2 linked regions of the Caenorhabditis elegans genome follow. The protein of the gene in region 1 interacts with the protein of each later gene in a pairwise test. Each region holds a gene or a part of one and is shown on either strand. Other genes may lie near its edges.

The links.
Region 2: the proteins of C50E3.5 (region 1) and eif-2Bdelta interact in a two-hybrid assay, tested with the Caenorhabditis elegans proteins (one large-scale study listed by BioGRID).

What each region holds. Positions count from the first base shown.
Region 1 is NC_003283.11:7,585,951-7,589,705, forward strand, and holds the start of C50E3.5 (SpoU_methylase domain-containing protein), read left to right. Parts: upstream 1-2,045; 5' UTR 2,046-2,047; coding exon 2,048-2,116; intron 2,117-2,163; coding exon 2,164-2,580; exon of another isoform or gene 2,581-2,609; coding exon of another isoform or gene 2,610-2,761; intron 2,762-2,806; coding exon of another isoform or gene 2,807-2,934; intron 2,935-2,977; coding exon of another isoform or gene 2,978-3,086; intron 3,087-3,255; coding exon of another isoform or gene 3,256-3,346; intron 3,347-3,434; coding exon of another isoform or gene 3,435-3,709; intron 3,710-3,755. Other genes in the region: F19F10.11 (Lin-15A/B-like domain-containing protein), read right to left, coding at 1-153, 825-899, 946-1,071, 1,148-1,246, 1,295-1,393, 1,439-1,542, 1,592-1,648; C50E3.6 (Ig-like domain-containing protein), read right to left, coding at 2,610-2,761, 2,807-2,934, 2,978-3,086, 3,256-3,346, 3,435-3,709.
Region 2 is NC_003283.11:9,512,272-9,516,026, forward strand, and holds the start of eif-2Bdelta (Translation initiation factor eIF2B subunit delta), read left to right. Parts: upstream 1-1,552; 5' UTR 1,553-1,645; coding exon 1,646-1,699; intron 1,700-1,905; coding exon 1,906-2,043; intron 2,044-2,090; coding exon 2,091-2,157; intron 2,158-2,204; coding exon 2,205-2,507; intron 2,508-2,551; coding exon 2,552-2,769; intron 2,770-2,815; coding exon 2,816-3,322; intron 3,323-3,755.

The DNA.
Region 1 (3,755 bases):
ATCATAAACTGAGACAAAACTTCACAAGTTCCTGACGTTGGAAGAACTTGTTGTTCATTATCGAGAATTGGTGAACTTCTATTGATTTGCATGGTTATTTTAGCACGTTCTTCCTGGCTTCTCATTGGATACAATAAATCAAGAGATTCCGATCTGCAAAAAAAAAATATTAATTAAAGGTGAAGTAGATTCGATTTGAGATTTTTCTCTAAATCAAGGGCGTCATTTTTCGATTTTTTTAATTTTCCAAAAAAAAATTCTGGACAAGAATTTTTTTTCAGAAAATTGACCCTAAATTCAATTTTTTACTAAATTTTAATTAGGTTCGTGAGAAAAAACATAAATATTTTGTTTTAAAGAAAAAAAATGGCAAAAATTTAAAGTTTTTTGATTGAAAAACAAATTTTTACCGAAATATCGAAAAAAAACTAAAATCGAAAAGCCGCCACCCTTGCTCCAAATCATAGAAAATGGACCCTAATGATAATATATTTTACGATTATTTCAAGTTTGCAAAAATTTGAAAAAGATCTAATTATTTTTGAATTCGTTTTTTTTTCGTTTTCTAGCTAAACTCATAGGTTTTTCTTGGTTTTTTCATCAATATTAGATTTGAAACTCGGTTTGTCAATTTTTTCCGTAAAGAAAATTTGATAACCCGAAAAAATTCGCTGAAAAAATGCATAATTTAACATCATTTTATAATTTTCTTATCGGAAATATGTGTGAAAAAAATCATAAAAAATTTATATAAATTTTTAAATTTTCTTCACAGTCGGTCATTTTTTCTAACTGTTGAGCTATTATTTTTCAAAATTTCTGACCTAAAATCTTCGACAGTTTGAGATGAATGTGGACTTTCGTGAGTGGTGCGAGAGTAGAAGGGAGCTACTTTTTTGCTGAAAAAAAAACAATTTTTTTCTTTCATCTTTGCTTTCAACAAACATTAAATTTTCTATATTTGAATTTTCAATTTGATTCCCAGGTACTGATGGTCGATATTCTGTGAGCCAAGAATTTGATGAAGGCCCTGGATCTTTTCTTGGCCACGGCGTCGCGAAGTTCAGCTTTCTGGAAAAAAGAAGAAAAATTATATTTTAAAAAGCACTTCAGAACAGTTTGAATTAAAAATTTTAGTTTTAAATACCTCCGTTGCTTCACAAAATCGCCCATAATTTTTTCAGTCTGAAAACTGGGCTTCATCGACTGCTCCTTCGGTGGACACGAAGATGGCGCAGCAGTTTTTCTGAAAAAAAAATTTTGTGTAAAAAATTTATTTATTCAATCAATGAACCTTGACATCATGAGATCGTTTTTAGAAATTGTTCGCACAACATCACTAGGACCCGGAAGTTCTTCTCTGGAGAAATTTGAAGTAGAAGCTGTAGAGTTTCTGGAAAATTAGTTTCAAGATTAAATTAAAACAAAATTGTATTACCCAGGAAGCATTGGATCATCTGGAACAAGAATCATTTCACCGGGTTTTAATTTGATTTCTTCAGGGAGCTGTTCCCTTTGATCCAAAGGCTCTTGCTTTATAGCCTGCAAAATGTGATTTTAATGAGAATTCTGAACTTGCTTATTTGTTTACCTGAAGCGCTGCTTCTGTGATTCCACCATTTTGTTCATTTTTCTTAGAAAACGGCATTTGGAAACCGTAATTTGTACAAAACTAGCACCTAAGCATTGATACTATGCTAGACACACTGTTTTTCGGGTTGAATACTTAGTTTTATGTACAGATTTACCTGAAAATTCATCTGGTTAAATTAAAAATTTAATTAAAAAGACAAGAAAAGGAAAAATTGCAAATATATTAAATATTCATCGCAAAAAAATGAAATGGGAAAAAAATAAAAACAAAAAATTGCGGTGGAGCGCATTTGCGTTTCCTTTTTCGCCTGCGTCTCTCGAAATCTGCACACGATTTGGAAACTCTCGCTTTTCATTTTGTAACATTTTTTTTCAATTTCAATTTTCAAAAGTTGCTTTTTTGTTCATAATAGCCTAATCTTCCAAAATAAAATAATAATCTAGTTTTTCAGAAATGCGAATATGGAATCGAATTCGATGCATTTCCACAATTCGAAAAAATCCTACATGTCAAGATGTAAAGGTTTGAAATCTAAATTTTTTGCCAAATTTTAAATAAATGATTTTCAGGCACCTCTCGTGAGCTCTCAAGTATTTGATCCCGATGTCTGGTCGTGGAATTCTGCTCCAGAATCGTCCCTGGATTTACCCATCGATTCTTCTCCAAATTTCTCGATGCCCCCCGCAACATCTTCCGAGACAGAATTCGCAGAAAACGAAGAATCAACTAGCTCGTCAGACGATAAAAAGAAGCGTTCCGAAGTAATCGAAGAAAATCGATCCGACGGACATGCTCCCATCAAATCAGCACTGTCAATTCTGATGCGATCACTTCAAAAATCATCGTCAATGACAACCTCACTATCGGATATTGATGTCACACTTTTCAATTTTCATTCCACAAAATTCGCCGAACGTCTTCTGAATCGCAACGTGTCAAGTGTGGTAATCGTGGAATCATCTCATGTTTTCTCGAAAAATGCAAAGGTAAGTTACCCATATTTATTTATTGTTTTTCACAAAAACAAGTAAAAAGTGGCAAAAAATAGCGAACAAAAAGTGAGATATGCTCGTTTACTGTTTCCTTCATTGTAGTAATAATGTGCACTCCGCGCACGCGCTCGTGTGTTCATCAAATTCTGGTAGTACATGTCGTCGGTTGACATATCTGAAATTTAACAATAATCTCAAGTTGTGTGTAGACCCTTCTCACCGAGTTCATAATCAATCTGAGCATCGAATAATCGTTCCAACTCTCGATGTCTGATTGGCTTGTGATGATGCCGAAGCGCTCCGTCGGTTCGAGCAAAAATCACATTTGTAGAAATTTCTTCGGATTTTCTAAAAGGAGCAGGTCTTCAAAAATTCACTATATTAAGCTTACCGTGTCATATAGACGTTGTCATCAGAGTTTCGAGAAAATGATGCCACGTTGTGATGCAAGTGATCCGACGATCTATCTCCTCGTTTTTGTAGAAGAATCGGAGATGATTCTGAATATTTAATACCGTAACTTGACAAAACCTTTTGATATTTCCGAAATTTAAACTCATTGAGATTACCTTAAATGAAGTTATTCCTATAAGTTAAAAAGATCATTTTAGAGATTTCACTTCTCAACAATACGTCTCTATTAATTTGGATTGATTATGAATAGCCCACCTTTCCCTACATTAGCGAATTCTACATTCTCTTTCTCCTCAACTCTTGGTTCTTCCTCCTTTTCCGTCATCTTCTCCGGCTTTTCCTCTATCTGAAACTCAGATCATTTCATTTATTCGCATCGCCGCTTCTCTTCCACTTATAATCTAATATCTTCTCGTAATAGTTATACTACTAACCCGAGAAAGCAACGCAATGTCCTCCTTCTTTGTCTTCGTTCTCATTTCTTGACGAGTCTCTTTCCGTACTCCGATCTCGCCTGCCTTGATACGACGACGGCTGGTTAGAGTGTGAGATTTCCCGTTTTCCTGGCGAACGGTGACGTGACACTGCCATGCTCCACTATCGGAAGACCAAAGAACTGGCGAGATTTCCATTGAAAAGTCTCCAGTTAGCTCATCATAATCAAAAAGGTATCGAGCGTTGTTGAGTAGTAGACGCATCACTGTTTTCCCTGAAATATCAAATTTTGCTCTAAGAAAACATTTCGTGCTCGGCGA
Region 2 (3,755 bases), 1.9 Mb from region 1:
TGAATTAAGGCAGGGTTGGCTTAATTTATTGAGTAATGAAAAACTTTTTAAAACTTCAATGTTTCCAATTTTAGATCTCTGTTATATATGTTCTCTGACTATCAAAAATTAGTTTACTGAACTTAAATGTCTATGTGATTTAGAATTGACACTCTAAATTTCACCTGTTTGTATTCTTGCTCAAAACTCAAAAGGTCATTATGATTTTAGTCACTTAATTGGTCAACTTTTAATATGTAAGATTCTAATGTGTAGATTTTGTGAAAATAAACGAATAAATCAGGGATATATTGTTCTTGTTTCGGATTCTCAATTGCACTGTTTGCTGGACACTTTTTTACCGTTACGGTACAGTTAACACGTGAGCATTGACACATTTTCAAAGTGTTTAGTGTGCACTTTTTTTCAGAAACTTCCGTCGAAAATATCATTCGGGAGTTGGCCAGCTTCTCCCATACTGGTTCCCAATTGTATGCAGCATTCTATGGGGATTCATTTGCTTTTACTGTTATGGAGAAACTTCGGAGAGAAGATCATTTTTTAGGTGAGAATCATGGTTGACTGTGTTCTAAAATAAGTATTATTCAGGGCTAATCTACTTGAAAACTATCGTATTGATATCGACGATTATGCATATATGAGTGCAAATTTTTGGCCTTTAGATAAATTTGGAAATACAGCTCCTGATGTAAAATCATTCACAGGGGTCGTCGTGATACTGATCATTGTGGTAAATAATACGGATTAAGAAAAAAACAACTAAATTTTCCAGGGATCTTCATTTTGTAGCGTGCTCTTTTTTGGTATAAAATGCTATAGGTGTATATCTAAAAAATTGAAGAGCACTGGTATTATATCTGAAACTTCGAGAGCCCTTCAGAACCAGTTACTCCAGGCACTTGTCGTTCAAACGGCCATACCATTACTTCTCATGTATGTACCCGCCGGAGTATTTTTCACAGCTCCAATGCTGAATATCGAATTGAATTTGAAACATCCTATAATTGGGCATGCTGTTGCTTTGTATCCGGTTTTGGATCCGCTTCCAACTATTATTATTATCAAATCTTATCGACAGGGATGCATCGAGACTGTTAAGAAAATTATTTGTTGTGGACAGAACATGCCTATTGTAAGATGGATTAACCGACAGGAGAATAACGTTAATCCTATAAGTTACACGATGAGCAACTGAGTATTCGGCTTTTTTTTAAAGATTTCCTGACACGAGTCAGTATTGACAAGTATATAATCTTTTTAATTTCAAAATAGTATTTTTTAGTTCAGTTATTTTGAATTCTTGAATAAAATGCATGCATTGTTGTTATTGTTGGAATTAGTGCTTAGAATTTGCATTGTGGCACTACGCATAGCATCAAAATGTTTAATACTTTCATTTAAAGAATATTTAATGATTTCCTGTTACAAGAATTGAAATTTCTTCTCTAAATTAAATTAATTTGTCGATTTCCAAAAATACAACAAAAAAATAAATCAACGCGCACATAATGCGCCAACAGAGATTGCTGACGTACTTTTCGTGCATGACGCGTTTCTCGTGTTTCATTTCAAGCGTTCGGACACCAGCTTTTATTCTCTTTATTTTAATATTTTCTTGTAGTTTCGTCTGTAAATATTCGTTTAAATGAGCGATAAAAATATTAATACTGACAAAAAGCATCCTGCTGATAAATTAAAGGTTTGATTTTTTATTGTGAAATTGTGTTTTCAACGCTTTACTCAATTTTTGTTGCACTTGAGAATTTTTTGGGTTTCGTCGTCCTGAAAGTTTCTGCCGCCGCGAACGAACTTCACAATAATCTTCATTTCAAAGTACTAACAATCTATCTCATTTTATCTATGTCGTTAACTCAGAAACCATTAGACTTTGCATCAATATTTCAGGAAACTTTCGAAAAGCTGAACAACGAAGTAAAGTTACTTGGAATGATTCTCGGAGTAAAAAGTGAAAATAACCAGCAAGTGGTTCCGCCAACAACTGCAGAAGAGCCAGCTCAAGGTGAAGACAAAAATCAGTATCACGTAAGTGTTTCATAAGAATTTTAAGCAATAAATCTAATAATTTTCAGAAAGACGTGACTGCTGAAGATAAAAAAGCGAGAAAAGCAGCCAAGGCAGCTGAGAAAAAAGCGAGAGGTATCTTATTTATCTTTTTTTCCTAAAAAATAAATTAATTTTTTCAGCTGAAAAATCTGTAGCCAATAAAGCCGCCGCCGCCGCTGGGAGCACTCAAAATCAAGGGCAAAAGAAGGAAAAACCGCCAAAAGAGCATTCAGCAGTTCCATCTGAATCCACTACTAAACTTATCGAAGAAAATGCACAGCTCACGAAAACCACAGAACAGCTTGCAGCGAAAATGGAAACCTTGGTGATTGAAGATGTGAAGATTAATGGAAGTCTAAAGCCGGCGATAAAGAAATCTACTGGTGTTGAGAAAAATGTTCGACATGTTCATAACGTTATAATGCCTTCTGTGGTCACATTTGGTGAGTTTTTGATAATTTAATTTATTAGATTTGTTCTTTTGAAGATCTTCCAAAAAATCAAACGAAAACGTTGCCGTCTGCATCTGATTCTGACGAAGCAGTAGCATCAGAAATTGAATCAACAGCAATCGCCCAATTGGATGATGCGACGTCTTTTGTACACATTCATCCTGCATTCTTAACGCTTATGGCTAAAGCAGAATTGGAAAAAATTCCAGATGTTGAAACAGTTTGTATTCAATTTATTGCTGCTTTCAAAGAGGTAAAATATTATTTTTCAATCAAACTGTATAATTATTTTATTTTAGTTTCTGCGAGATTGGACAGTAGAACGAGAAAAGAATAATATCAATGCTTCCACATTCGGTCACGACCTCGATTTGGCTATTCGTCCACAACTTGCTCATATGACTCAAAATGGTCACTGGCCATTGCCATTTGCACTTGGGAATACAGTTCGATTGTTGAAAAGAACAATCAAACGACTTGAGGAAAGCACTAATATGAAGTGTGAAGAAGAATTACAAGTTTATCTGGAAGATACTTTGGCTATAAATTTCTGTCACGCGTACAAAGCCATCAGTCAACTGCTTGTTCGCAAAATTCAACAATTCAAAAAAGTTGTCGTGTTCGATTGGTGTCCTGTTGTGAATCATGTTCTTCTGGAAGCCAAACAACAAATTCCTGATATGCAATTGTCTGTTATTGATGCAAATTCCAATGGACGAGGTACGCGGCATGTGAAGAGTTTCGTAGATCAAGGATATAATGTCAAATACGTCACAATGAAAGGAGCTTCATGGGCGTCCCTGGCAGTGAGTTTTTTTTTAAAGCAGTATCGGTTCTAAGTGGTCTCAAATGCCAAAAAGAGCATTAAATTTGAAAAAAAAAGACAGACGATTTTTAAATTTTTGCTAATCTCCTAATTTGAATTGTCTCGCTTTTGTCTCTAAACTCCCCCAATAGAATCGAATTTTTCCAATTTCGACGAAACTTCTTTTTTTTTTTGCGGTTTTTTTCTGAATTTTAATAAGAAAACGATCATAAATATTAAAAAATATTTTTCGTATTTTTAAAGAACAAAAAATAACGTGTTTCTTGTAGAATCTCCGAAGGGTTAAATATTTTTTAATTACATTTTTTTTTGATATGAAAAATTTTTTTGGACATTTATTATATTTAAAATTTAGATTAAAATTTAGAAAACAGCGCAAAAAAATTATTTTCGTCGAAATCGGAAAAAAAAAA